Rhinolophus ferrumequinum: one gene and its partners. The main gene of each other region encodes a partner of the protein of the gene in region 4 in a complex. Links are inferred from orthologs where the notes say so. Each region holds a gene or a part of one and is shown on either strand. Other genes may lie near its edges.

Region 1 (7,798 bases), on a different chromosome or scaffold from region 4:
ACTGTGCTGAAGTGGTGTGACTGATTTCTGGGCAGGAGAAGACACTGCCCTCAACTTTATCCACAACCAAGCAAGATCAAGCTGGAACAAATGCGCACACTGCACTTCAGATTTTCAACACTCTGGGCTGACATACCATGAAAGAGTAAGATTTCAATTATTCTGAAAAACTGTTAGTTGCTTTCTGAAAAGGAGTGTAAAGGATTTACTTCAGTACTGAGTTGGCAGAAATTAACTCAGAACCTGCTGCTACAGAAATTCAAATACTCCAGAGGCTAGAATTTAGAGCAAAAAAACAACTTTCCTCTTAAGAACTCTTTTGTCAAGGAGATGCTCAGTAAATGTTACTTTGTTACTTCCCTAACTTTTCAGATACTTGTGGATATTAGGTCAGCGGCTTGACATTAATTTTTCAAGCAAAAGCTGTTTGTTAACCATAATTGCATGTCCATAAAGGTAAGCATTACATGACACAATTCTCTGTATTTTCTCTCAGAAGAGGTTTAATTTTAGTGTTGGCTCTTCAACTCTGTCCCCATTTTTTTCATGAGCATCTTAAATATGTGTCAACCAACTATCCAGAAGTGTTCATAATTGGGCAAAGCAGAGAAGAGCGCCCGTGCGGCAGCAATGCCCTGTTGGAGCGCCCTCACTCTCACCTGGGCCCAGGTCAATCGTAAGAAACTGCAGCCCTGTGGTTGCACCTTCTCCATCAGCAAACTATTCTGCCACATCTCTAAGTTTCTATACACGGTTTGAACCAAGCCGCACTCCTGTCAAATGACTAGTAACAATGCTCACAGACACTAACAATGGCAGCATTTAAAGGAGGCACTTTCTTCATCGCTCATATTCAAAGAGACAATTTCCCAATTCTATCAACTTATTTTAGTAGGGCTCTAGCACACCTATCGCTAGAGTTGCCCAAAGTAAGCCACATGAAACATGAATTCCATGCTACGTAATACAGCCATGGGCTCAGATGAGAGTAATGTTTCTGCACACACCAGGATACACGAAGCTGAGATTTGTTCCCTCCTCCTACTTCTAGGAACCCTCTAGATTAGAGCCTTGCACAACACTAGAATCCCTGAGGTCACTGCCCACCTAATCTGTAACATCGTGACCACCTGTCAAAGCACCTTCTGATGTCAAAGCGCCTTCTGATCCCAAAGCTCTCCTAGGTGGCATTAAGAATCAGTGCTAATAGGTCAGCCACTCTCAGATACTCCAGAAGGCAAGCAAGCACATGGAATTCAAGAATTGCACTCTGACTCGACAAAAGATGCAAAAGTTACCAAAGCTGTATTTTTCATGTCACTTGCTTTATCCTCTAATATTTCAGTGTTGGGAATTGCAGCGGCACCAGTTACTGCAAAAATTCTGGGAGGTTTTATATAGCTTGTGCCTACTCCACCCCCAAAGTCCTAACAAAAATGTATACACTTGTTAAAGGCAATTTCCACCAAGCCAATCTTAATGGGGCCCGAAGACCAGGAATAAGAGAATTACTTATGATAGAGAAATCAGAGCCTTACAATTATCATAACCCCTCCAAAATTACCCAAGACAATTTTTTCTTCCATCTGCAGTATGTTAAAGTGATTTCAGTGGCCACTTCCTGGTCTCCCAGCAAATGCAGGGCTCACTTCATACCTGGATGTCATCCTCCTCCTGCTTAACCTGCTCCTGCCACAGGGGAAAATGACCCCTATCATCAACAACCCCTTGGAGAATATATGAGAACACAATGAGGCTTCCCCTACACACACGGAGGGGGGACAGGGGAGATCCCTCTGCAAACATGGAGGGTCATCTGACAAAGCGACACCCTGGGGTTAACCCTGTCATCTAGGTCAAAAACCACCTGGCTAGAACCTCCAGATAGGGGGAAGGGACAGCCGAAATAGGGTTCTTGGGTGAACCGGAGAGAAAACAATCACCTTTAATTCCCTACCCAAAAGTGGGGCTCTGGCTTGGTCAGAGACGCAATGGGCAGTTAGGCCCAGAAAAGCAGCATGAAGGATCCCACCCTCCTCCCCAAGATCATCTTCCGTTGGCAGCGACTCGAAGAGGGATCCAGCAAAGACATGTCCATTCGCAGAACCGAAGAGACCTCTCCACGCGCCCTGGGCACCCGGCTAGGGGCAAAGCAGGCCGGGGGTTTCCCTCCGAAGCCAAGGTGCTTCCAGCAGGGAGAAGAAGGAAGGAGGACTTCCCTGATCACCCAGAAGGCCGAGATACTGGAGGCACGGGCTCCCGGAGTCATACTCCAGCCACCAGTTGCTCCACAGTCTTTCTCCCTCCCCTCCCCCAAGTCGAGAGGGCTTCCCGGGGGGTCTCTGGTCTCCGGAGAAGGGGAGGCAGGTAAGCTCCGACAGGAGCAACAAGGGTCGTAGAACTCAAGCAGGAGGGAAGGAACAGCTCTGGCCTCAGCTCCCGTCTGTATCCTCCACCCAGGCCGCACGTAAGCCTCGGCCTCACGTACCGAGCGCCGCCGGGCTGCCCGACCTGCCCCGGGCCCAGGCCCGGGGGACGAGAGGCCGGGATGGCAGCGGCCCTCGGGGGAAGGTGGGCCTCGGGCGGGTACCCGGGAACCCCGAGGGTGAGGGGCACTGGGGAGGAGGAGGGTCCCGGGCCCACGAGGCCTCGGTCCTGGCCCGCGCGGCGGGTACTTACGTTGCTCTGGGGGTCGATGGCCTGCAGCAGCCGGTCCCTGATCTGCTGCGGAGACGCCGGAGCCGCTGTCATTGCCTGGGCGAGGCGGGGGGGAGCGGCCGGGCCAGCGGGCGGGCGGGCTGAGGCGGGGGACGGGGGTCACTCACTCGCCGGCCTCCGGGAACGGAGCTTCATGTTCCCCGCGGCGCCGGGGGAGGAGGGGGCGCGCGGGGTGGCGGAGAGGGGAGCCGGAGCCGGGGCTCGGGCCCGGGGCGCCGCCGCCACCGCAGGAGGAGGAGCCGCCGGAGCCGCCGCCGCTGCTGCCGCCGCCTCGAGAACCAAACTCCAGTGAGCTGCTCCTGCGCGGAGCACTCTGGGTAACCCGCGCCGCACGCAGCGTCGGCGCCACGCTGAGGAGGTTGGGAGATGGGGCGGGCGGAGACGCCGGGCTTGGGCGGGGCCACGCCTGGGTCACACCCCTCGCCTTTTACGCATGCGCGCACAGGCGCACTCGCCCACCGCGCAGTCCCAGTCCCCTGCTCGGCCCGGGGAGCCGTTGGGAAACGGTTGGGCGGGGCAACGGTCGCCGCCTGGAGCCCCGCCCCCACCCGGGCTGGGGATGCTGAGGTTCCCGACCCAAACGCGAGATGCGCGCGGAGTCCTTGAACTCGGCGCTGCGGGTGCCGCCTCAGCTGTGCAGGGCGGGGAGGGCGGCGGCAGCACCCCTCTTCGGGAAGAAAAGCCTTCCTTGCACTGACAGAGGTGATAGGGGTCGCGGGCGGGAGAAGCTGCCAAGTTTTCCAAGCCTGGGGGGGATCCTTCCCACCCCCTCGATCTGCGTTCCTGGGGGCGAGGGAGATGGATGTCCACGTTGTGATGCTGCGCGCGTCTGGGTCTGACCGAGGGATGTCAAGGGACGTTCCAGCTCTGGTTCACTCCAGAGGGCGGGGGTCTGCAGCGCCTCGCTGGCCCGGGTCCCGAAAACATGAGACGGAGAAGCACCTCTCCGAAGAGCCGCCATCCCAGCTGGGAATGCCCCCAAACCAGCCCCGTGAGCCGACCCCATGGTTGCAGACCTGTGCCCCGGTGACATTTGGGGCCGGATCACTGTTGTAGGGCCGTCCTGGTAGGATGTTGAGTAGCATCCCTGGCGTCTACCCACTAAATGCCAGTAGCACCTTCTCCTCCAGTGGCGACAACCAAAAATGTCTCCAGTCATTGTCTGATGTCCCCTGGCAGGCAGAATCGCCCCCTATTGACATCCACTGGTTTAAAAGACCCTTCTACCTTGCTTGGCGTGGAGAGGCTGGAAAATTGAAACCCTCATTCTCTGAACCAAACATTTCTCAAAGGAGAAAACTGCAGCCCAAAGTCACCCAGAGTTACAGGTTAAACCCAGAACTTCTAATGTCAATTCTAAGGGTACCCCCCACCCTCTGCCCCACCCCCTTACTGCCTTCTTTCATTGCTGTCTTCTCTCTCTGGAAGCTCTATTAGAAATACTGTTATGAGACAAGGGGTGGAAAGGCAGGCTGAGTGGATTATTAGTGGCAGCCTCAGGAGAAATAACTTTTCCTTGTTACAGGAAGACCTAGATTTAAAACAGAAGAGAGGCAGCTGATGAGAACCGCATGTGCGCCTTGGATCTGTCCTACACCTGTTAGTCTTGCATTTGTCATGCTTCTGCGAAGCATTTTTATTTGCAAAAACGGCTGTTTCCGTGGTTGTGGCTGCTTGCTTCTGCACATGTGAAAAGTTTCACATCACACTTGTAGAAGAAAATAAACACAGGCAAAATACTCCGTTCAGTTACTCTCTTTAGCATGAGGTGCTTTGTGTACATGCTCCAAGTTGGAAATCTGCCCACTTAGAGATATTCTTTCTCACTTCAGATAAGCAAAATAAACAAGCTTCTCCCCCAAGTATAATCCGGTCCTGCCTCTCTCTTAAATTTCTAACTAGATGTACAATGTCTTATTTTTTTAAATCAGGGAATAAGCCATTTGTTTTGCATGGGTCAGGTTACTTAAGAAAACTCTGGAAAGCACTCAACTTACCTGCTTTTTTTAAACTAAGAAGAAACATTAAGATGACTATGAGCTCCACAGGGGCACCGACTCAACTCCGTGTCCCCAGTAGATAGAAAAGTGCTTATTAAATATTTGTGAAGTAAGTGAATGTCTCATCAGATACACAGCAGTTGAATACACATACCCAAACATACTTATGCGGTTCAGTTCCACAGACCTGGCACACAGTGGGGGCTCAATAAATAATGGAAAAAGTATTTTATTAAATACTTTCTACAACATGAGGATGCACATGGACACAGAGTTTCATTCCATATTTAGCATACAGCATGTCCTCGAATAATGTAACAAAACGACGTTTTCGTTATAATGGTGAGATGCCATAGGAACTTAACTCGTTTTTTATCAATTAGCCTATGTTAAAACTGGTCTCATATGTCATTTTACTTAAAGTACAGAACTTATTGACAGTATTGAGGACTTACTGTATATACAAAGTATGCTTGTCATGGTAAAGAAAGATCGCCACGGAACAGTTTTGAAAGTTAGCAGCTTCTCTTACGTCCATGGTAGATACTGAATTTCACTAGCTGACTTTCTGCTTTCAAGATACTTGAAATGTTATGCAAAGATGGGGCTCAAGGTAAATCCTCGTGCTGTAATCGTTCTTCCCCATGATATGTCCCTTAACTTAGATACAGAGACCATTGGTTCCACCAATCTGAGAGGACAAGATCTTTTGTGCTTGAAATGTCCTTGGGAAAGCGGCCTCATCTCTTAGTGAGGCAGCCCCCAAAGGTTAGGGCGAGGAAGTGGCTCTGAGTCCATGGCTTGCTCTTGCCATGGAAGTGGGAGGGAATGTAGTTTCAGGACCTGAGTGCACAGCATGCCCAGGCAGTCTTGGCAGTGAGAGAGTGGAGTCCTCCTCCGTTGGCAGACTAGTAAGGGCATCCCAGAAGGAAGTCAAGAGCTGGAGGGCTCCCACGACTGCACAAGACAAGTGTTCAACAGCGACACCATGTGACAGCAAGGAGCAACAGCAGCAACGCCCTAGGCAGACTCACTGCTAAAGGGAAAAGCCGCTGTACCCTTGCGTCACAAACCCCTGGGAGGTGGGCAATTTAAAGGAGAGGAAATTACTGGACTTATCCCAATGATGTATGTAAGCGTTCCAGTGATTGATAAGAAAAACAAACATGAGCAAATCCACCACCTCACTTTGACCCATATGTTTGCTCTGAGTTTAACAGTCTGGTGGAAATTTTTAAAAACCACTTTCTCCTATTAACTCATTCAGCCATATCACTGATCTCAGAAGTACCTAGAGAGAGGTCTCAGGGTTCTGCTTGGCTTTGCAGCAAGTCCTGTTTACTTTAGAAGTGAAACCAATTTCAACAGTTTTGAAAAGCCCCTGAAATGTCACTGCTTTTAGGAAGACTTTCAAAGATAGACGGGACAATTTTTATCGTGCTTTCAAGTGGGATATAAACATGAATAAAGCCTGCTCCTGAGGATCTAGTTTTGAAGCCAAGCACTGGAATCAAGTCGGGGTCCCATTAATCCAATATTTTAATTGTACTGTCCGAGCGAAGTGCAGCAGGAGCCCTAAGGTGGGGAAAGCCCTTCTGGATAGGTGGACCAGGAAAAATGTTTGACAAGAAGGCAGCACTTCAACTGAGAGTGTTCCAATACACTCATACCCTCTGACCCGATCGATGTCTCACAACTTCTAGAAATTTTTCCAAAGGAACCACCAATCAGATGCAGATAAATGTGTACGTATGTACAAGGGAGGTCACAGCATCATTTATAAGAGCAAAAGAGTGGAAGCAACTGAAGTATCCAGTAATAGGGGAGTACATGAATAAACGGGGGGGTCAATTCATGAAAATGGGAAGGTTATGGACTGGGAGAGACCAAAGGAATCGATAACTCCGATGGGGGTAGCGGTCTTATGGGTGGATGCACATGAAGAAATTTACCAAGCTGTATATTACTGTACATTACACTTTGAAAATAAAGATATATAGCTAGATAACAGATAGCTAGATAGATAATAAAGCCGTTAAAAACCAGTACTGAAAAGATGGAAAAATGCTCTCAACTTAATACTAAGTGATAAAATGCAACATATATATACATTATGATCTTACTTTTATTAATATATGTATACGTATGTACATGATGCATAGAAAAACTACTGGAAGGAAAGAAACCAAAATATCTACAGTAGTTGTCTCTGACAGGTAGAACAGGTGATGATTCTTCTGATACTTTTGCCTGCAGTTCCACACTGTTTAGAATGAACATGTGGTGCCTTCTGGTCATCTCATCCAGTGCCGGGTTCTCCTGACCTCTAGTAACCTAAGGTTCTCATCTTCTGACTCAGGTAACGCTAATCTCAAGTGTGCCCATAATCTCCCAAATCCGGAAGATGGATTTGCTGTCAGGCTGAGTGATGGATGTCGATCTAAGTCCTAACAGTTGGTGTTTTCCCTATTGCCCCAGTTTTGTATTATTCTTAGTAATAATAATAATTACAGAGAATAACATTTATTGAGTACCTACTACATGTCAAGGTTCCCCACTGAGGGCTTCACATGAGGACCCTGATGAACCCTCTGGGCAGTCAGGCCCTATGTCAGTCCCTCCCCGTGACTCTGGGTGGGGCCTGCAACTCACTTCAGCCTATAGGATGCAGTGGAGGCCACATCCTGCCCAGTCCAGACTAAAGTTTAAAGAAGGCCTGGCAGTTACCACACCAACCAAAATTCCACTCCTGTGAATACCCCCAAGAAAACCGACACACAGACTTGTCCAGGTAACTGTCCACAGAAGCACTATTCATAATAGATGAAGGTGCAAACACCAAATGCCCATCAATAAATGAGTGGATAAACGAAATGTACATCTATACAATAGAATATTCCGCAGCCATAAAAAGGATTGAAGCACTGACACAAGCTACCATGTGGATGAAAACATCATGCTAAGTGAAAGAAGTCAAATACTAAAGGCCACATTTTATATGACTCCATTTGTATGAAATGTCAGGATCAGGCAAATTCATAAAGACAGAAAGTAGATTGGTAGTTGCCAGGGATGGGTGG
Region 2 (7,317 bases), on a different chromosome or scaffold from region 4:
TACTGGCATCTGGTGAGTAGCGAGGCCAGCGATGCTACTGAACAACGCACAGGACAGCCCCCCCCCAACAAAGAATTATCTGTGCCGACAGTACAAAGGTTGAGAAACCCTGCTTTATCCTGATCATTAATTGTAATGACCATGAGGGGGAAACTTGGGTGTCATCTTTCCATTGAACGTTCAGCAGCCCATCCAGCACACACAGCCTGGATCAAAGCAGGCACTCAACAAATGTTTGCTGCATGAATGTACAAAGATAACAACAGCCACGAAAGGGTGGTTTAATGAACTCCGACCACAGCGCAGACCCTGAGCTAAACACAGGATAAAGACTAGCTCCGGGGATCTTCCCAAAGTAGTGAGCTGTGGACTCAAAGTAGTGACCATCGTCCATTTGCAAACCAAAAAACCGAGACACAAAATGATAGCAAACCCTTAGGTAGCACTTAATACACACCTGGCTGTTTTAAATCATCAACTCATTTAATTCCCCAAGTAGCCCTATGACACCCCAATAACCAGGCCCCCAGTGATACATGCCTCCTGCTATTCACACTCTTGGTATTTACACCCCCTCAAACCCTGAACAGGACTGACTTGAGTACCAAACAAAATGTAGCAGAAATGATGGTGTGTGACTTCCAAGACTTGATCATAAAAAAACCTGTGGCTTCCTCTCTGCTTCTTCTGGATTGCTCAGTTTGAGGAAACTGAGGAGGTGCATGTTGGGAGGACACTCAAGCAGCCCCACAGGGAGCCCTTGTGGCCTCCAGCCAATAGGCATAGGGTGAGCCATCTTAGAAACAGATCCTCCAAAGACCCAATCAAACCACTGGATGCCTGCAGCCCTGGCTCATCCCTACAGCAACCTCACGAAACTCCGAGGCGGAACCACCCAGCTAAGCCACTGCTGAATTCCTCACTTACACAAACTGCATGATTATAACGAACACACGTTTGTCGTTTTAAGACACTATGTTTCAGGGTAATCTAACGCAACAGTGGATGAGTAATACAATAAATAACTAATACAAGTAAAGATGCTCCTCAACTTAAGTCCAAAGAAACCCATTGTAAGTTGAAACAAATAAGTAACAAACGCATTTAACCTACTGAACATTACAGCTTTGTCTAGCCGGTTTCTACTGAACACGTATCGCTTTTGCACCATCATAAAGTCGAAAAATCTTACGTCAGGGACAGTCTGTACTATTAACACACCGTCTTTAGAGATAAGCTATATCGGGCACAGAGGTGGCAGGGACTCCTGAGTCTGGGAGTTCTATAGTGATCTGACCCTATCTATCTGCACCTGCAAAAGCCTACAACGTAAACTAACAAAATTCGATGCAAAGCACAGAGCATCTTTCCTGGCCTATCCCCACCCCTCCTGCACTCAGGCTTCAATGTGCCAATCAGAAAAAGGAGGGCTGGGGTAGAGACGGGAAACAACAGACAGAAAGGGGAGAATCACACATGGAGTACCAGGTGGGTGCTGGAGCCCAAGGCCTCTTTGACTGGGAGAAGTTTTTTTCTACTACCAAACCTGATCGCAAAATCGTTGAGCACACAAAACCCATCACAGAAGTGACATATGGACAAAAACAATCCCCCTCAATACTTTCAGCCATTCAATATGACCCCAGCCATCATCCATTCACGGTCCCTCACAGGGTCCCCCAACCCACCCCAAGCACGGGGGAAAAGCTCACTTAATGCCATCGAGCCAGGTGACAAACTCATAAGCGCTGCTGGTGGGAGCGTGACACTGTACGTAGGACTCAGGAGCGCAGTCCACCGTGTTGAACACGACGAGGCTGTACTGGGTTCCCCCATACTGGGGGGGGGAGTGCAGAGGAACTTTTCACCTGGGACCTCAGAGAAGTCAGGGCTTCCAGCCCCTCCTCCCTGGGAGCCAGGAATCCGGACCCCATCCCCTCCTCCCTCAGACCCGGGGGTCCAGGCCCCCAGCCCCTCCTCCCTCAGACCCGGGGTCCAGGCCCTCAGACCCAGGGGTCCAGGCCCCCGGCCCCTCCTCCCTCAGACCCGGGAGTCCAGACCCCCGGCCCGTCCTCCCTCAGACCCGGGGGTCCAGGCCCCCGGCCCCTCCTCCCTCAGACCCGGGAGTCCAGGTCCCCACCCCCTCCTCCCTCAGACCCGGGAGTCCAGACCCCCGGCCCGTCCTCCCTCAGACCCAGGGTCCTGCCCCCCGGCCCCTCCTCCCTCAGACCCGGGGGGTCCAGGCCCCCGGCCCCTCCTCCCTCAGACCCGGGAGTCCAGGTCCCCACCCCCTCCTCCCTCAGACCCGGGGGTCCAGGCCCCCGGCCCCTCCTCCCTCAGACCCGGGGGTCCAGGCCCCCGGCCCCTCCTCCCTCAGACCCGGGGGTCCAGGCCCCCGGCCCCTCCTCCCTCAGACCCGGGAGTCCAGACCCCCGGCCCCTCCTCCCTCAGACTCAAGAATTCCAAGACTCACGTCTCCCCCGAAGTCTGTCTCGGCGGGAGGACCACCATTAAAATACCTGTGAGGGTCGGAGGTGAAAAGTGGGGGTCAGACAAGAGGCTGTGGAAAACTGAAGCCGGAGGGCGGGGCTGGAGACGCGGAAATGGCACTCACTCGATGGCCGGGAGCAGGTAGTGCTTGCGGAGCCCCTCGAAGTACGGCCCCAGGTTGGCCGTGCCCTCAATCACAAACACGACGTCAGCCACCAGGCCCCCGGCACGGGCCGGGCCCTCGGACCCGGGGACCATGCCCCGCGAGGTAGACGCCACGGCCGCCACAACCTCCGCGAGATGAGCGGAAGTGCGCCTGCGCCGCACGCGCCCCCGCGCCGGGCGGCTTCGCTGTGCGGCTAACGAACCCGCGGCCATATTTATGCGGGGCATCCAAGGAGCGTTCGTTCTAGCTGCATCCTCGTTCCCATCCACCGCGTACAAGACTCAGATTAGGCATAGCGAACCACTTCGGGGCCTGATGCGGAAAACTGAATTACTGGCAGAACTGTCCATAGCTAAATACATTGGAAACAGCACCGGCAGCCGTCATCTTTGAGCGGGGCACCTGTTTCGACTCTGGTCTCAATGGGAGGGTCAGGAGATTTAGTTGCTATGCAACGCGTACGCTGCCCTTGTTTTCTAACAAGATGAGGTTTCCAGTTAAGTTCTTTCTAGCTCAGGGGGGGATGGGGAGCGTGAACGGTCCAATCATAACGTCCGAAACGGGTAACTAGGTAACGCTTTAAGGTTGCCGTCAACTTGGAAGGGAGTGCAGCTGTTCTCCCCCCCTCCCCAAGAAGCCAAACGCTAACCCTAGTGGAGGTTGCTAAGCAACACCTGATAGTTGTTTTGTGCGAGGGGCCAGAAACTGGTCTAAAACAGAAATACATTCCAAGTGGATTAAAGATGTAAATTAAACAAATGAAACCGTAAAAGTATCTCAAGGAATAAACACGCTGTATAACCTTGAAGACTGGAAAGAGTTTCTTGCCATTACAGCAAAGCCAGAAAACGTAAAGTATTGATCAATTTGTCTGCCAAAGACTCCATAAACCAAGTTGAAAAAAATGTGATCAACTGGGAAAGTCATTGTACCATATGTGTGGACAGAAATTTGCTACATAAATACATGTTACTAATCAATAAGTACGTACTTAGGAAAGGAGAAATCTTTTATTTTTTTAATGGGAAGGAATCTAAGCAGGCTTTTCGCACATACGATGGCAAATAAATATTCGGAAAACTCTTCAATTACAAAGTGCTAACAGAAAGTCCAATAACATATCATTTTACCTTTGTCATGTTAATATTGGAAAAAGGAATGTTCACGAGGGAGGCTCAGTTGTAGACGAGTGGGGGTGGAAATCAGGACAACTTGCCCCCGTGAAGTTTGACAATATAGTTCAAGGTAAAAGGGTATATACATTCCCTTTGCAAAAAGCCATGTCCCCAGATGGTAACATTTACTTTAACCGTTGCTTTTTTTCTTTTATTTTCTTTGTTGCTTTTTGCTTTTATTTTCTTTGCTGAAGCGTTTTAAAGCAAATCCTCATCATTGTATCATTTTACCTGTTGTCACAAGGGGCGTCTGGCGGGGGTCTCAGCTCCCGCCTCCCTAAACAAGAATACAGAATAGGGCCAGGCCAAAAAGGAACACCCACGGAGCCATAGGTACGGGAGTCATACCACTATAGTCTCACTGGAGGCTGGATTCACACGACATGCAACCTGCTGTCTGCTTTTCTGCCAACCGACCGACGACTATCATAGCCGCGGCAGTGATATCAGTGGCCAATTGGCTAACCAGCTACAGCTGACAGCCAACTAGCCACAGCCGAAGGCCATCTACTACCCAAGCCAGCACCTTTCCACGTGAGGCCGAGAGCCTGGAAACTGCTCTCTGGGGTTCTGTCCCCACACTCCACCCCTACAGGGTCTCACCTCAATCTATGCGACAAGTGTCTTCTGCAAGGGGCCCTGTGCGAGGTGAATGCAATATTGTGGACACAGCCAGGCTCTCTGGGCACAGCCAGGGTTTCTCAGGGCACCACCAGTCCTTCTGGGCACAGCTACACTTCCTGGGCTTTTTAGGGTACCATCAGTTTCCCCGGGCACAGCCAGGGCCTCTCAGGGCACTGCCACTCTCTCTGGGCTCAGCCAGTCTTTCTCACATATTCTCCATGGCGGCTGATCGAGACACAAAAGCAAACATCTGCCAGTTCCACTACATGGTGATACGTTCCCAAGCAAACAATCAAGCGGTCCATTAAATTAGGGATGGAAGGCAATTCCTCATAGTCCATAGTCATTCACCAGGGCTTTCCTGGGGGTGAGGGACGACCTTGACCTCACCCTCATCTCCCACGGAGTGCTCAGCAAGAGTTTATCACTCTAGAGTTAATATCACTCTAGCCCAGGTGATATTAAGGTAAAAAAGTGCCCTGTTCTAGGCATGGCTTCTATAGCTTTTTATGGTAAAAGACCAGTGTTTCTCCCAGGCCACCAGCTCCATCCATAGTGGACTGATACTTTTGCAGAATACTATAAAAATAAACCTTTAGAGAAATTAAATTACAAAACAGTATAAATCATATTGTGAACTTCCAGCCTTTTCCATGTGTATGCTCATGTCGTGCGAGGCGGCCTGTGGGGGTCTCTGCTCCCGTTCCCCACATCATAAGAACGCAGAATGTGGCTAGGCCAAAAAGGAACACCCATGGAGCCATAGGTAGGGGAGTCATACCACTATAGTCTCACTGGAGGCTGGATTCACACGATGTGTGACCTGCTGTCCGCTTTTCTGCCAACCGACTGACGACTCTCTATCATAGCCACGGCAGTTATATCAGTAGCCAATTGGCTAATGGGCTACAGCTGACGGCCAACTAGCCACAGCTGATGGCCATCTACTACCCGAGCCAGCACCTTTCTACGTGAGGCTGAGAGCCTGGAAACTGCTCTTTGGGGCTCTGTCCCCACACCTGTGCCATCTCTAAAAAGTTATATTTTCTTACATAACCATTATGCCATTATCAGTCCTAACAAAATTATTTCTTAGTATAACCTAACACTAAATCTATAATCAAATTTCCCCAGTTCTCCCAAAATGTCTTTTTACAATTGCTTTATTTGCATCAGGATCCAAACATATTTAGACATTATATCGCAAATTTCTTTTAATCTAAAGTAGCTCCCTCCTTTTTTATGCGTGTAATTCAATTTTTAGTAAAATTACAAGGAAAATAAAAGTAAAGTTGAGAAAAGAAAAATGATCAACAGGTAAGATTAAAAAAGTACCTAAAATTAAAATCTGCCGTTAAGTATAAGGAAACTTTTCTTTCGATAAAGTGAATATACGATTAATTGAATTAACTGATTTCTAACCACCTCCATTAATGTACAACAAATGGTAAAATAAACAATTAGATATTTTAAACTGGACTTCAGCTTCTGGCATTATGGTAGGAGTACTCTTCAAGTATCCCCTCCCCACCCGACCCCCGTCCAAAAAAAAAAGACAGAGAACCAGAAATTAACACAAAAAAGAGGGAGTAGAACTGCCTGTACAGGGAAGGAGCTGCATTGGCGTTACCAAGAGCATGAAGGCAGCTAAGGGCCTTCCAGAGCAGCTGAGCTCGCCTCAGGTTGGTACTTTTGGCAATCTGTAGAAGTAGAAGCACACCCTCCTTGTAGATCTCAGATTAATATTGGCCATATTTGTGAAAATGTGTGACTATGCTGTGTTAAATTGTCAACTTTCTATTTTTGAGGAAAGGATTTGGGGAAGAGTATTTCATATTCTGCATGATACACGATCATGTATAAATTCATTACAAAAATAATATTTCTACGATTCTGGAAAAATGAAGAATTTCATCTTTTTCTGTTAACCACCACCATCTAATTTGGTGGTTACTAGGCAACGCTCGTCGGACCAAACCATCCTCGAGGGTGGGGGGGAGATGGTATTCTCCTCCATTTTGCTCTAGGGAAGGGTACTCAGAGTTTGTCATGCGGCCATCTTTGAACGGGGCACAGCTGTTTACAGCTTTAGGATGGAAATGAGACTGAATGTAGTTACTAGGCAACGCCATGGCACCGTCGCCATCTTTGAGTGGGGCACAGCTGTTTATCGATTTAGAACATAAAACATCCTACCCTACGTGATGGTTGCTAGGCAAACCCTGGGGCGGTCACCACCTTCAAGCCGGGCTCTTTATTCTCTTCTTTAAATAAGTGAAGTGAAGTCACTTTAGGGAGAAACTATGAAGCTTTGCCAGTACAATTAGCCGCCATCTTTGTTAAAGGTATTGTAACTTCCGGCTAGAGCGGAAGAGACTTGAACAGGGTTTGGAGGAGGTGCTGGAATAGGGAGTGAGGGGGGGTTTAAGTTGGTTGAAGGCGGGGATGTAGTCCTCTTCCATTGAACTTCCCATCACCCCTCTGGCGGCTTTGGACGGCAACCCTACTTAGTAGTGTGACTACGGTCATGCTCCAAAGCTGGCACTAACCGAACCTGCGAGGAGGTCTGGGGGGGTTCGAAATGGGGGAGGAGGGGACGGAGGGCACCGTACATCTGCTGTGTCTCGCGGCCTCCAGCGGAGTCCCCCTGTTCTGCAGAAGCAGCCGCGGCGGCACCCCCGCCCGCCAGCAGGTGGGGCCCTGGAGCCTGGATCTAGGGGTTTAGGAGCTTGGGCTCTGGGTCTCCAAGAAAGTAGCGGCTGGGGAAGTTTCAGTTGAGTTTAGAGGGCTGAGGGAGTAATGGACCAATAATCCTTGTTCCCCGGAGAGAGGAGGAGCCCAAGGGATCTAGAAAGTAGAGGG
Region 3 (7,337 bases), on a different chromosome or scaffold from region 4:
CTATCCATCCTCACTTGTGCCCCACCTTCCTGTTCTCCCAATAGACAGCCCTGAAGCAGAGGTGGGGGGATGGGAGGAGACAGCCCAGGTGAGGATTTCATGGTAAGGAAAGAAGAGGAGCTGGAGATGAAATGACTCTGAGAAGAGCTAGAAACTTCAAGAATTGGGGCGTAGGTAGGGGTGGAAAGGGCCATGAAACACAGGGACAGGGGCTATAAGCCCGGACCTGGGCTGGGACCTGGCATCTGGCCAAATGTCTACTTTAGAGGCAGTGTGCCCTTCACTTTGCCCTTGCCCAGGTCTGTTAGCAGCCCTTATTGGGAGCCAAGGACAGGGAGAGAGGTAAGGAGAAGATAGGAATGGTGAACACTTGTCTTTGAGTTCAAGGTGCCCCACTGTGCCTTTGGGGTAAAAAAAAAAAAAAAAGGTAGATCAGGAGGTATTTCATTTTCTATGGCTCTGGGTCTAGGATTTCAAAAAGTCTCCTTCACCCAGTATCTTTAAGGCCTTTCGTCATAGAGAGATGTGGTAGGGGAAGCCAGAATGGAGGGGAGACAAAACCATAGTACTGTCATCTTCCCTCGGGACTCAGTCACCCTGCCCTAATTAGATGACAGCTAGACCTCTCCATTGCCTCCTGGTTCTGCCTGATTGATGCAGAGCATAAATGTATCCCATGCTTTGGGATTCTCTCCCCCGACTCCTTGGGCTGCCCAATCTCAAGAGACTATTTCCACACAGGGTAGAGCGTGCACCCTGAACGCTGCACACCACAGCTTTGCTCCCCAGGGTTTCAGCGAAACCCGATCACCCAGGAGGTGGTATCAAGGGCAGATAGCTACCCTCAATGCACCTCACACTGCACGCTGCAGCCTTCTGCCCCACGCTGCAGCTGTTGCATGTCCACTGTGAGCCCAGGCCGAACCCACAGGTTCACTGACTGCATGCTGACTCTGCATACTGCAGCCTCCATTCCCTACTGCAGCTGCCACAACTCCACACTGCAGGCTCCCTTCACCCATGGCATACCCCTCATCACCAGCACTCCACTCTGCAGCCCCAGGCTTTCATCCCAGCGATGCTTCTCATCCCCATGATTCCAGCGGGTCCCAAGAGATGCTCCATCCCCTCCCCATGCACGGTAGACCCCAATGCCCCCTGTAAGCGAAGTGGCTGCAACAGAGATGAGGATGCAGGTGGCTGAGACTGAGATGAACCAGGGCAGCCCAACTCAGATAGGCTGTTGGTCAGAAGCCCCACACTTAGCAAGTGATTTTTGTAGAACAGCTCCCCCTTCACATACACACACACACACACACACACACACACACACACACACACACTCCAACAGCAGACTGTGGAAACAGGGCCCAGCCCTGAAAGCCGTGGGAAGGCTGTGGCCCCCGCTGGTAAAACTGGGCTAATGACAGCAGGGGAACCGGCGGGGCCAGAGGGGGTGCTGGGGTAATTAGAGCTCTGCCTGGCGCTCGGAGATCCCGAGATGAAAGGGGCTCTGGCGTCACTGGGATGGTTTTATGTCCATGAGTGCAGGTGTGTGTGTGTGCAATGGGGTGGGTGGGAGCTGGATGGTAGGGGAAGGGCATCCATTTTTATGCAGGCTGCCTTCCTTAAATTGGCCCTGATACCATTTGGATTTTGGTGGGGGTAAACATGGAAGGAAATACCACCTCTGTGAAGCTGAGAGTTGATGGGGTAGAGCAAGTCTTGCCCCCTCCCCAGCCGAGCAAGAGGACCAGATTGTTGAGGAAATGGCTGATGACAGTGAATAAAAAGAGCCTATATTGAAATAGGGTGACATTTGAAAGGGGAGGCAGTGGATCAGGTAATGATGTTAGAAATGAGAGGGGAAGGAAGCGAGTAAATGGCGAGTAATGGCGAGTAAAACTCCAAAAGAATTTAAAACATAGATGATTGAAGTTAAAAGGACCTCAGGGGTCACCTGCCGAACCCTGGTATTTTAAGGTTGAGGAAGCTCTGCCCCCGACAGCAGGGGTGATTTGCTCAAGGTCACACAGTGAGTTACTGGCAGAGAAGAGACCCGAACTCAGAAACAAACTCGAAACCTCCAAGGGTTTGGTATTTAGACTTTCGCCCTACTTATAAGGTGCAGGCGTCTCGTCAATACTCCCTTCTCCATCCCCATGGTGCAAACACCAAAACCTTCCATTCTTCCAGCAACTGAAGACTATTTTTTAAATGACATCTTTTTCAAAATATGTCACCCAGTATCACTCCTGCCGGAGACGCCTGGAGTGGGGAGGGCGAGTCCGAGCTGGGCGGGTGTAGAGGCGGCCGAGGGGCGGCCGGGCGGCTGGCTGGCCGGGGTCCCGGGGCGCGGCGGGGGGCGGGGGGCGCGGGTCGGCGGCGGCAAGGCGGCCTGCAGGGAGCAGCCGCGAGCCGGCCGGGCGCGCCGAGCAAGAGCCCCAGCCGGAGCGGGGCGGGGGAGGGAGGAGCCAAGAGCGGCCGCCGCCTCTGCCGGAGGAGCCGCGGGGCCGCCACACTCGCCCCCCGCCCCCCCGCGCTCACTCGCACTCACACCCGGGCGCAGGAGGCGGGCGGCCCGGGCCCCACCGGCCCCCCATGGACGCCCCCGGCACGGGGCGCTGAGACCCCGCGTCGCTCTCCAGCCCTGTCCAGCGCGCCACGCCGAGGTAAGGGGGAGGGAGCGAGGGGGGTATTAATATGCAAATACCTCACGATTGATTATGCAAAGCCACAGGGCTCTCTGGCCAGCTCCCGGCGGGCTGGGGGCGTCCGGGGGGGACCCGCCGCCAACCTTAGCCTGCCCCCGACGCCCCTGAGACCCTGTCACAACCCGGGAGCTTGCAACTTACGCCCTGAGGAAGGGAGGTGTTGCTAGGAGGTCGGTGGGCCCCAGGGTTCGCCGGCGGAGATGGCGTCCAGGCCTCCCCCTCGAGGGCCCGCCCGGCCTCTGTCCGGCCCGTCTGCTGCGCATTCCCGGGCCCGGCCCCGCTGCCGGCCGCCGAGCGCCCCCGCCCGCCGCGCCGCGCCGCGGTTTGTTTACGGTGCGCGGGAGGCCTGCCCCTCAGCCCCCACCCCTAGCCTTCCAGGCCGAGGCCGAGTGGCCTTTGCAAAGCTGCCTCCAGCTGCGGAGGGCAGTACGTGTGGCGTGGGGAGTGGGCTTGCAAGGGTCCCGGGAGAGGGAAGCCCCCCCCTCCACCCGCCTCCCCAGTTGAGCATGGCTCTCTGGTTGCAACACTCCTAATTGCAAAAAACGCGGCTGGGGGTGGGGTGGAGGTGTGTGTGTGTGTATGTGTGTGTGTTGGGGGGGAGTGTATTTGAGGGTCCCCAGATGATTAGAGTTGCAAGCTAGGGTGGTTGGGGAAGAGAGGGAGGAAGGGACCTGTGTTGTGTGTACCCCCCCTTTTCCCCTCCCCTTGCAACGTGTCTCCTCTGGTGCCCCTTCTCTGTCTGGGGCCCTCCCTTGTCCCGTGTGAAAGAAAGGCCTGGGGAGGGGGGCAGTGATAGGGGCAATGGAGAGAGCCACTGTTTCCAGGGGTGGAGGTCGAAGGAGGGCAGCCAGTGGGATGGTAGCCCACCCCTCAATGATGGCTCTGGCCCCAGGAGGGGGAAGGGATGAAGGGGACTGTTGTCCAAGATGAGAAGGGAAGCAAATGTGACATGCAGACACCAAGATATGCCCACATAGACAGCCACATGCACACCCAGGGACACCCAGGCGTACTCAAGGACAGGAGCTACTGGACACACCCACATGGGAACAAGGGAAGTGGCAGGCTGCTGCTGCACTGGGGAGCTCAGAGGGATGGGACACACCCACGGGAGACCGACCCATGCACATACCTACGCACAGGGTCACACGGAGACGCTGTCACACACAGGGGCAAGGAGGAGTCGCTGTCACCCACACAGAAAAAGTCACTATCGCATGCATACATGAACACAGAGCAATTGCACACCGCCGCACATTACAAAAGACCCTGTCACTCACAGGCACACACGTGCTTGCATGAGCCCAGTCACACAGGCATCAACGCCTGCCGTGACAGTCGCTGTTACTCAGTCAAATGCAAACGTAGTTACACATCAACACATGTATACACAACTTAGCAACAAGTATTTTCCTGGACTTCTACTGTGGATCTCTGAGGTTCTGTATACAACAAAACCCCTGCTCCCAAGGAAATTAAATTTGTGTGAAAAGACTTTCCTGCGTAATGGTGCAAGGCATGCATTTGTGATAATGTTCTCCGTTGCTTGTTATCCCACCCTACTAGATAGTGAGCTTGAGACCTGGCAGAATCACTCCAAGAGTGCTGGATCCCACCCAGAGCCTAGCACAGGAAGTGCTCTGTAAATACTTGTTAATGGATTGACTGTGGGAACTCCGGACACAGGTGCACTGATTTGCACACAGTCCCAGGGACTCAGGTGCAGAAGGTGTTCACAAGGCGCAGGTCCACAGTCACAGGTCCAGGTCGACAGTGGTGTCCAGACAACTCCAGACGCACACCCCTAGATGCACACATAGTCATGGACTTTTTCCCTTAAGTTTCCTTCTGTCTTCTTCCTCCAGGCTCAGCTTTTTTTTTTTTTTTTTAAGGGACAGAGAAACTAGAGCAAAGAGTAGGGGCAGGGGGGTTCCAGAGGGCCGAATCACAGGCCTGAAGCAGTGTCCAGTGACTTCCAGCAGCTGGGATTATCCTGGCTGCTGAGGGAGTGGGTGCTGCAGTCCTTATCCCCACCCTAAAAACAAATGGTGGGGCAGATCTAGCTGCCCCTGCTGGAGTCATTTGTCTGAGCCTTTTCTGGGGGCCTTTCACTCACCCCCAGCTGAGTTCCTGCCTCTCACCCTGAGTCTGGCTCCTTTTCCCACCTCTGCCCTCCTGTCTAAACTTGGAAGCTTTCCTTAGGAGGCCGTATGCTGGTGAGTGTCTGGGTGAGTGATGTGTATTTTTGACTTGGAATTTCTCTCTAACGCTGTCTCTCTGTTGCTCTGTCTTGCTGTGTCTGATTCCCTCTCCTTGTTTCTCTGCCAGACTATAACTCTCACCCTGTCGCTACCCCTGTCTACCCCTGTTCTTGTCTGTTTCTGCCACAACCTCCTTTCTGAGCTGGGAACTGGCAGTGATGTTCTTCATAGTTTTCCGGTTGTTAATACTCAAACCCCGCCCCCCAGTCCCCGCCTGCCCTGTCTCTGGGGTCATCGAGAGGTTGGGGTGGGGGGCGGGGGGCTCAGCTGGCTGTTCAGGACATCCTGCACTTCCTCAGTGCTGCAGCTGCAGGCCAGCAAGTTTTGGGGGCTGGGAAAGGGGGGAAGGGAAAGGGGTCACCAACTGCCCATGCTGACCTCTCAGGCTGGCAGGCTCTGCCAGGAGACACCAGACCAGTGGAAGCTGGATGTGCAGGCCACATCCAACTAGCTCCTAACCAAGCCAGTGAGGAGCTCCCTTCCACACTCACCCACTGGAAGAGAATCACCCCCATGGGCAGTGGCGGGAGTTGGCAGGACCCACAGTGGCCTTTCTCCACACCCCTGGCAGCTGAGACCTACCTCAGAGATGCCCAACAGCTGTGTCCTCTTTGCCCAGCCTCAGAGCCTGCTTCTGAGGGTACAGCTGCCCAGACTATGTGCAGAGCTGAGTGAGGCCCTCTCCTACGAGTGCAGGCTTCAGCCCAGGGCGGCAGAATGAGCAAATCTTCCAGAGAGGGAATCTGAGCAGGGGACACCAAGCATTTCTGGCCATGCTCTCCTCTGGCTATGGCCTGTTTGGGTCAGGAGGCATTGATAGTGATTCTACCATAGAGAATCCATGGGCTGCTACAGAAGGGGAAACTGAAGTTTAGTCACAGGGAACACATAGCTGGATGAAAGACCAAAGTATCATTCCTCTAATAGGTAATGTCCTGTAGTGCATGGTGCATAATAAGCACTTATGCTTACAGTGAGGAAGCTTGTGGGCTAGGGTCCCCTGCATTTCTTGGAGAAGGTTGGTGGAGAATTGGATCTCCTAGACATCACAGGAACAGAAATGAGATGGCAGGTGGGTAGGCATAGTGGGTCCCTAATCTCTACTCACACTTCACATCACCATTTTCTCCCTGACAAGTTTTTGTAACCTGGAGGCCCTCTGACCCTCGCCTTTTAGCTTCTTAAAAAGAGCCTTGGCATCTCAGCCTGGGACACACCTCCCCTCCCAGTTAGGGGCACAGGCATGAATGTTTGGGCATCGTTGCATCTCTGTTGGGACAAGTCTGAGCACTGGGAGTGGGGGAGCAAAATAACAAGGAAAGCATAACCCTTCTTGAGTGTAGAGTACAGCACCCTTCGTCTCTCCTGGGGACCCACCATTTCCAGCTACCTACCATCAACCAATCAACCAAGACCCAGCCCTGGCTGACAGATACTAGATTCTCCACCCATGCATGGAGGGGGCATTAGTGTGAACGGTGGAGGCACGGAGTAAGGACCGATGTGGTGGTGTGTGGTGCCTTGAGATCCAGGGTCTCTGGGTTGCCTCTTTCCTTCTGTGAGTCTGGTGATGACTCCTCTCTCCCCCAAATCCCTTTTTTTTAATTCAGCAACTCTTCTTCAAGGTGCAGCAAGGACAATGGGGGGATGCCCTGTAGTGGGCCACTGGGAGCCAATCTCAACTCTAGTTCTCGTGGCAGCAAAGGTGCTTGGGGGACTTTTGTGCATCTTGGGCAGGGAGGCAAACCTGACCATGGTAGAGAGCACTGGCCGGGAGTTGGAGGCTGGGTGTTTGCCATCCACCAGTTGCTGACTTTGAACCTGAGTTTTCATCATCCAGAGACAGTGATGCCTACCTCACTCAGGAATGGTACATAGCATACCATGGGATGACACCTGTGTTCCATCTGTGTTGCATCCTAGCATGATAAGCAACGCCTGTGGATTCTCCTGCCCTCCCAGGGTCTGGCACACTCTAGGATGGGGATATATACATGCCACCTGGAACCAGAGATACTTCTCAGTCTTTCATGGAGGTGTCTGGGGCTGGTGTGTGTGTGTGTGGGGGGGGGGGAGCATATAATTGTCAGGCATATGGTGTCGCCCGCCCTCCTCCCTGGCAGGGGTGCCAAAGGGGACCTCCCTTTTGTATACCTGTTGTGTGAGGTGCTCAGGAGGGAGAAGTCAGAAGTTCTCTGGGTAGACAAGGGCAGCAAGATGGAACTTATTGGTGCTCAGGAAATGCTATCATTGCCCCCCTACCTTGGGGATGAGCATTCAGTCTAGGGACCAGGGGCTGGGATTGCAGATTAGGGCCAAAGGTACAGCCACACACCCCAGCAGTGGCAAAGAGCAGCGTGAC
Region 4 (7,788 bases):
AATTCTTTTAGGACTATGTTGGCCATGAATGAATTTAACAATCCACTGGATGCACTGTTCATGAGATTCCTGGAAAGTTAGAAAATGATTACATTTTAGGCCTAAAGTTATATGTCGTAATTAACATAGCTAATGCTACACCTGGAGTATACCAAGACTATGAATGAAACACTCCACCATAAACATTCAGGGATGCAGACAATTAAAAAAAAGGAAAAAAAATCAGATTTAATATTTCAGCTACGTTAAACTTAAAATCTTAGCATTATAGAAACTAAACTCCCACTATTTTTATTAGATGGAACCTCCAAAAGGAGTAAGATTTTATTAACATATTCATGAGCAATAGAAAACTCTAACACAGATTGTGTAAGGCATTATAAGCCGTGACCTTAATGGCAGATTTAGATATTCCTATCACGGGGTGGTGGGGAATCCATTACAGATTAGTACATTAGTCTCATGAGAATTTAGTGTGAATCTAATCCTTAAAAGGCCAATCAATTATGAATCCAACGACAGAACAAATTTCTAGATTTCTGTGACTTTAAATCTGATACTGAAATGTACTGCCCATATCGAAGTCTGTCTTATAGGACATCCTCAAAAGAGCCTATGTCCCGTTGTTCTTCATTACCACTGTCCCTAACACATACTTCTGTTGTTGATCATATAATGTGGATTTACAAATATTACTTTCTTCTTGGCTCTCTCATTAGAATATAATATTCTTGCAGATAAGGGCCATACCTTAACTCATACAATGTTTAACAAATTATCAAACATTTTAAATCTTTTGGAAAGATGGTCAACATCAGAGAAGTGCAAAATAAAATTATATACTGAGATAAAATTTCTCATGTTTTAGATTGGCAAAGATCACAAAGTTCATTAACACTCTATTGTGAAGCTGTAGGGAATATATACTCTTAAATATTGCTAATGTTTAGGAGTATAAATTGGTGAGCCTTATGGAAAGCAACCAGGCAATTTCCATAAAAATTACAAATAGCCATACCTGCTCATTCAGCAATACTATTTCCATGAATTTATTCTCTGTCCCATGTGCAACATTAATCATTTTGCATTGTTTAAGGTGGAAAAGATAAGAAGCAACCTAAATGTCAGTCACTAGGGGACTGGTTAAAAAAAGGAAGGTGTAGCCATAAAACAAATATGCTGGAAGCAAGGAAGGAAGTCAGAAATTTTAATTTTTAGTGGATTGTTGTAGAATTACTTTCAGAATTAATTAATTCTGGTATTAAGGGTGAAAAAAAGCAAGGTGCTAATGAACAGTGTACATAATATATGACCATTCTATAAAAACGATTCTATATGCATAAAATACTTCTAGAAGGAAATACAAACTAAGAATCCTGGCTACAGATGGAAAAAAGAAAAGGTAATTAAACTAAAGAGATGAAAGACAGACTATTAATTGGGTCCACCTTTTTGTACCTTTTGCATTACAACACTTTAAAAAAAGAATGTTTTATCATTACGTGATCCATGTCTGAGTAGCAAGTCTTACCACCAATGGTTTAACTGCAAACATTTTCCTACCTATAATGAACCATAAAAAGACAATGAAGTCTTTAAGGATCACACATTTTGTCTTTTTCAGGGATATATTTTCTGGTGACTGTTCTTTGTTATTAAGTTTTACTGTTCCTTTCCTCTTTTTTATTATAATATCTTTATATCCTTATTATAAAATAGGATCCTTATTGTGGCATTTCTGTATCTTTACTATAGTATCTCTATATCAATACTGTGCCAGTTCCTTTGTTGAGAAAATGAAATTTTTATCCTTTATAATCCCTAACACAGCTGTTTTCAAGTACACCAAATAAATGAGAATAGGATAAAAATGGTTTTATGTAATCTAACATGGGAGATTTTTAAAGACATCTCACACTGTACTGTCATCAACTTGAATTCTCAATACAGGTTCCCCACTGGAATACAAATTGAAACAAATGGAAACCAGAATAGACATAAAAGATGACGACAATTTTATCTCCCCTTTTCCAACAGCAACATCAAAGTAAGTGTAAAAAAAAGAAGGGGTCAAAAATTATTAGCTGAATGTATTAAAAAAGCAGTACTCACCTGGGAAAGACCACTCCAAAACTGTCTGAAGGCTCCCAAACAGCTAATTAGTTTTGTTTTTTCATCTTCAGGGGTGTCCATAAACATGCTATAAACAAAAATCACGTTATTTGCCACTAGTTTTAAAAAGGTAATTCAACATAACCAGAACTGTGGATCTTATAAATCTCCAAGACAAAACTGAGTAAAATCTTAACAAAGATACACCCACGTAAAAACACAAAAATCTGCTCTGCATATACTCACCCAGGGAAAGCCTCTTCTATAATTTCCGTTTTCTGCAACAAAACAAAACAAAACGATATGAATAAAAAATTAAAAACTAAAAAAAAGGAGGGGCCTCCCCGAGCAAAACATTGGTGTAACATAGGGCAAGTCACCTTAACCACCTACACGCAGAAACTAACAATGCCTGCCTGACCTGTCACAATGCCTATTGTGGATTTCAAGGAGGCTTTGAATTTGACAGCAGTTTGAGAATCGCTAAACCTCTGCGCACATACACAGTGTCACAACCAAGGAGAGGTGGGGAGAAGTTGGCCGAGCCGGATTCTTTAATCCGATGCCCCCAAGACTCCCCCTCGCCCGGCCGTAGTCCTGAATCCCTGACCCTTTCACTCACCACCACCTCCTCAAAAATGCTCTGCAGTTGCGTCTCCATCTGGACCATCACCCCCGCCTTCCTTGGGCGCCCGGCGCGCGGCCTGCGATCAGGCCCGAGCTCCGGGGAATAGAAAGAGGGGCGGAGACGCCCTCAGGAAATCGCAGGTCGAACCGATCGCTTTCCACCCCAAACGCTCAAATGAAAGAGTCCCCTCTAAGGTCCAGCAAACAACCGAGGCCTGCAAGGAAGCACCGGGAAGCTCATGGTGCTTTCCGATTACAAAACCCCCGGAAACCAGGGACCTAGCTAGATGGTTCCGAGAGTCAGAAGAGAGCGCCCCCAAGCGGCGCCTCGAGCATAAGTCACGTCGAGGCGTTGTCCGCTGCAGGCCGCCACCTCCTGGCAGGAGCGGGTGTTGCTTCCTCCTCGGGTCTAAAGCTTTTGCATGTTGGAAAGGAGAAAAGCTTGGATGCCAGGGGCTGCAGTCTGCAGGCAATGTTTCTGCTGCACCCTGCACCCTGGGTCAAACTGATGATGGCTGCTGACTTTCTGTCCTGCAGCTCCATCAGCAGCCTGGAGCCAGGAGTTGAAACAATACTTTTCTTGACCACAGATATCATATCTTCTCAACGATGGTAACCTCAGTGCTGGACACATAGCAGGTTTTCAATGAATGTTAAAAAAAAGAATGCATCATTATTGATTTTTAATTGGAATAACAATATTTACCATTTTTAGTTATCATAATCTAAAAATAATATTTATCAATTACTGAATACCTGTAGCCTATTTGATGGGGATGGGGTGGAGAAGGGTGGCAAAGAGGAAGGCTGATCCACTGGTGTGGTCAGAGCAGATACCTAAGTGCTCTGACTGCTGTGCCTCCCCACACCCCATGGCTTTATTCCTTCAAGCGGGAAACCTTGTCCTTCTTCAGCCTGATTTAGGGGTCTCTTCTTTATCCTCATAAAACACCTTTGTGCATAACTAGTAGAGTACTTCATTTATGGAGTATTTATCCACCATTCACTCAGTGCTAGAAACAGTGTTAGGTGTTTAATGAACTATTGCAGTAATCAATTTTGCAGAATGTCCAAGCTAGGATGACAGACCTAGAATTATTAAAACCCAAGTTCCCTAACAATCTATTGTTCTTTTTTCTATATTAAGCAAATTATCTTATAGTGTATTACCTTTAATCACATACTCTTCTAAAATGGTTTTCATCTACTATCAAGCAGATTTTCATGCTTCCACTCTGTTTCCAAATTAGTGTATTCTCTGCAAATGCCAGCTAATCTTAATATGGGCCAGGGCTTGTACAGTTAACAAGGTAAAATAGCCAGGAAAGAATTATGTTTTGGCCATAACTAAATACAAATTATTTTTTATATCATTCTTGTTGATGTTCCATTCATTGAATAAAAATTGACCATCTATTTCTAGATCTTCTTAATGTGTTTCCCCCAATATTCATTTTTAAAATCGATGTATAATTTATATACAACGAAATACATAAATTTTAAATGTATAGATCCATGAATTTTGACAAATGTTCACAGTTGTTTAACTACCACCTCCATCAAGACATGGAATACTTTTATCACCCCAGAAATTTCTGCTCTCTTTGCAGTCAACCCCACCTGTAGCAGCAAACACTGTTTTAATTTATGTAACCATTAATTAGTTTGCATGTTCTTAAAGTTTATGTAATTGGAATCACATATGATGTAATCTTGTGTCTACCTTCTTTCACACATTATATTTTGAGATCCATCCATGTGTATCATTTTGTTGAATGATTAAACTACAGATTATTTATTGATCCACCAGTTGGTGGTGAGGACTTATAAAAACTTTGATTTCATAACTTGTGGGCCAATATTTAGATTTTGTACTTATTGTGGATGGAAAAAAAAAGGGGGTTAGGGGGTTCTATGAGAAGTAACCTCACTGGGTGATCTGATCTGAATTCCTAACTGGGCAGGTCATGTGGATACTCATTACCCAGGCCTATAACTTCCTTAGTGAAAGGTTTTAAGCCAGCTCTGTCCATTGTTCTTGTGCATCTAGGTTGACATACCTTTGAAATACCAGAAGTAATGCCCTTGGAAGAGGGTATTAACCCTCAAGAGAACACATAATCTTGTTAACTATCCTGTAATCCAACCCTCACCTTGTTTTTTTCCCACCTGCGTGCAATCTTCCTTATGTTCCCTCCTTAATTACCAATGCATAAAAGAAGCTGTAAAAACAGCATTTGAGATCTTGCTCCCTGGCATATGTTGTCAGTTTGGCTCAAATAAACTCATAAAAAAATCTATACAGGTTTGGACATTCCTTATCGACATTTAGGTGGCGTGGTTGGCAGGATTCTGAAGCAGCCTATCCAGGACCACCCTAGAAACCTGGACCTGGTACTACGTAGGTACAAGCAAGGGCCCAATGTGCCCCCCTGGCTCCTTGCTTCTCATCAGCTAAACTGAGGTGAGTTTCTCTTGGAATTTTGGGCCTCCTTGCTTTGAATACCAGGTCATAACTTTATCTGAGCTCTTCTTAGAAAATCCTCGAGATGGATAAGGATTGAGATTACCCAAGGAAAGAACAAAAAAATGGGCTGCTGCTTTAAGTTTTGGCTTTTTAATTGGATTGCTTACTGGGAGTCTGAACAAAATCTTTGCTGGTCAAATGAGACACTGAACAATCTTTAGCTCCAAGAGAGAAAAGGCACTTGCTTTCCCAACCCCTATAGCCAATGGGGTGATGTCAGTTGTTCAGATCCCTGAATTCGGTGCAGCGGAGATGGGTGCAATTGTCCAGTTCATTAGAGTAGCCAGTCCCAAGGAAGCTGACAGGAGCCCAAGAGACAGGGCAACGCACCCTGGAGTGGAGTGTGTCCTCAGAGAGGAGCCTGAGACAGGAATCTGTGCCTTGGAAAATGTCTCGATTCTAGCAGTGTTTAGTAAGTTCTTGCTGGCCCTTGCTCGGGTATGCTTAGGTGACTAAGAATCTTTGTGGGGTTGCTTGAGGAAAATTTTTCTCTAGGGCATAAAGAAGTCCTATAGGGATATCTACTACATTTGGCTCATCTAGAATTGTGCATGTAAAGGCTGGTTTTCCCTAGAAGTAAAATGGGAAATCGTGTCTCTGAAGCCACCCAAGCCCATGACAGTGAGCCTCCCATTTATAATTTACGATGGCTAAGATGAAGATTCTTTGTTACCTCTAAATAAATTTTTGTGCACACAATTAGAAAAAGCTAGCTACAGAATTAGGCAGACTGAATAAAAAAAAGAAACTATTAGAGACTGTTTCACAACTTTAAAAGGCCTTCTCCCCTAAGTTAAAAATGGAACTATGTAAAAGGGTTTAGATAAATGGATCAACCTTCGATGTCTTTTAGGTGTCAATTCAATTCTTTGGGGAATTAAAAATGGCTGTCTTTTTTTTTTAAAAGGGGAATTCATCTGGAATTTGACTTGTCAAGGAGAGATATAAATTATAAATGTCTCCAAAACAAAATTAGAATCTAACTGTTCTCTGTTTGTGTCTGTCTGTGTATGTCTATATATACATGTGTTGTAAATGTGAGATAATTTTCTATCTGCAGATGGTATTGTTAAAATTAATTTAAAGGCAAGTGCTTGTAAGAATTGGATATTCTAAAATTCTCAAATATAGAAACTAACTCAAATGCTTTTCAAGTTCACATGAGCTAAGAGTCCTTAGTAAACAAAAGCTAGCTTAGGTTGGTTGGTTGAAGTAAAACAGACATGTCTTTGTTTTGCCTGGGTTTTACAAAAATAAATCTATGTTAATGATTGAATTTTATGTCTATGAAAATGTTTCTAGAGGTTATAAAATGTCCAAGCTAAAGAATGCTAATTGATAACTTCTTAGTTTTTATCAGACATTAAGGTTTTAAGGGTTAAGATTTCAATATAGTAGGAAAACTTCTAGGATATATTGGGCTGTGGGAAACCCAAGATGGCTGCTTGGTTCTTCGCTGCTCCCTGACTCCCCATTTTTCAATTTTTGCATTCCTTCATGTATCACAATGCATTTAAGCTAAAGGAACTTATGAGCTGACATTATTGAAAGGAGACATCTTACAATATTACCAAGGTCTAGGAAATGCTAACTTGGTAACTGCTTCCTTTCCCAAATTGCTCCCAGGATCTAAAGACTTTAGAGCAGTGGTGTCCAAACTTTTTTCAACCTTTTTCACCAAGGGCCATATGAGGTAAAATACACAAACAGCCGGGCCACTCACTCGAGGTGAAGTACGTATTGCCTCACCTGGTTTATTTAAGTAAACTAGATATATTTTTGGAATTTGCTGCGGGCCAATTAACAATGGATTGCAGACGGCAGTTGGCCCGCGGACCACAGTTTGGGCACCCCTGCTTTAGATGTTGTTTCTTTGGAAAAGACATCAAATAAAAGACACTCTCCAACCTCATGGCAAGGGCCCTTATCAGGCTCCTAACCACGAATGGACATCTACCCCTGTACGCACATCAAAGATTCCTCGAGGATTAGAAGCCACTGACAACAAGGGAGGTAGCTGTTTCAAGACACTGACAAAGTTTGTATATCTATGGAACTCAGAATCCATTTTGTTTGATTGTTTTTACCTGTTTGCTAATGATATTAGTCATAATAATAGTTGTACTTGTTCTTTGGGTTTTTCTATATAGTCAAACTGTTTATGATTACTGAACATGTATAATATAACCAATAGTGCTCGTTTCATGACTTCTGCAAATTTACACTAGATGCCAATTATAAAAAAATGAGACAGAAGGCAAAAGTTGGATTACGCTAGTTCATAGGATAGAAATGACCCAGTGTTTCTTGCCGTGAAGACCATCAGAGCTGACTGCTTTCCATTTACCTGCCCTTCCTTTTTTGAGAAAAATTTGGCCTCAGCTCAGATCCATGGTTACAGTGTTCCCCATCCCTAGCGGTGAACAAGATGACGTCACTGACACTTCCTAGGAATGAGCCTTCCTAGAGCTGTGAGACCATACTATCTAACCAAAAGGTTGGTCATCAATTAATTCGTCAGA

The links.
Region 1: MED23 (region 4) and MED26 share a complex: the UniProt entries of both Homo sapiens proteins name them as parts of the mediator complex. The link is inferred for Rhinolophus ferrumequinum from reciprocal best matches to the Homo sapiens genes MED23 and MED26.
Region 2: MED23 (region 4) and MED25 share a complex: the UniProt entries of both Homo sapiens proteins name them as parts of the mediator complex. The link is inferred for Rhinolophus ferrumequinum from reciprocal best matches to the Homo sapiens genes MED23 and MED25.
Region 3: the proteins of MED23 (region 4) and MED24 are in contact, whole or in part, in a cryo-EM structure (PDB 7EMF), measured with the Homo sapiens proteins. The link is inferred for Rhinolophus ferrumequinum from reciprocal best matches to the Homo sapiens genes MED23 and MED24. Residues at the interface, in NP_004821.2 of Homo sapiens: Asn150, Thr151, Val152, Ser153, Ser154, Glu193, Gly194, Leu196, Pro197, Trp199, Leu201, Gly202, Asn203, Ser206, Asp207, Asp210, Arg213, Tyr258, Asp259, Lys260, Phe263, Ser1133, Arg1139, Ser1176, Glu1180, Glu1182, Trp1183, Val1184, Tyr1186, Arg1189; in NP_055630.2 of Homo sapiens: Lys238, Thr239, Leu280, Leu283, Lys287, Val291, Glu295, Cys336, Glu339, Phe340, Lys343, Leu344, Thr345, Pro346, Leu347, Asp349, Lys350, Gln353, Lys384, Glu720, Lys721, Trp723, Thr756, Arg757, Lys758, Glu759, His760, Met802, Asp803, Pro804.

What each region holds. Positions count from the first base shown.
Region 1 is NC_046301.1:50,104,631-50,112,428, forward strand, and holds the start of MED26 (mediator of RNA polymerase II transcription subunit 26), read right to left. Parts: upstream 3,009-7,798; 5' UTR 2,752-3,008; coding exon 2,680-2,751; intron 1-2,679. UniProt on the Homo sapiens protein: Component of the Mediator complex, a coactivator involved in the regulated transcription of nearly all RNA polymerase II-dependent genes.
Region 2 is NC_046298.1:44,851,986-44,859,302, reverse strand, and holds the start of MED25 (mediator of RNA polymerase II transcription subunit 25), read right to left. Parts: upstream 3,011-7,317; 5' UTR 2,884-3,010; coding exon 2,615-2,883; intron 2,520-2,614; coding exon 2,474-2,519; intron 1,838-2,473; coding exon 1,713-1,837; intron 1-1,712. Other genes in the region: FUZ (protein fuzzy homolog), read left to right, coding at 7,037-7,147. UniProt on the Homo sapiens protein: Component of the Mediator complex, a coactivator involved in the regulated transcription of nearly all RNA polymerase II-dependent genes.
Region 3 is NC_046304.1:36,565,952-36,573,288, forward strand, and holds the start of MED24 (mediator of RNA polymerase II transcription subunit 24), read right to left. Parts: upstream 3,013-7,337; 5' UTR 2,856-3,012; intron 2,673-2,855; exon of another isoform or gene 2,471-2,672; intron 1-2,470. UniProt on the Homo sapiens protein: Component of the Mediator complex, a coactivator involved in the regulated transcription of nearly all RNA polymerase II-dependent genes.
Region 4 is NC_046286.1:78,968,679-78,976,466, forward strand, and holds the start of MED23 (mediator of RNA polymerase II transcription subunit 23), read right to left. Parts: upstream 3,016-7,788; 5' UTR 2,783-3,015; coding exon 2,735-2,782; intron 2,391-2,734; coding exon 2,359-2,390; intron 2,201-2,358; coding exon 2,113-2,200; intron 70-2,112; coding exon 1-69. UniProt on the Homo sapiens protein: Required for transcriptional activation subsequent to the assembly of the pre-initiation complex. Component of the Mediator complex, a coactivator involved in the regulated transcription of nearly all RNA polymerase II-dependent genes.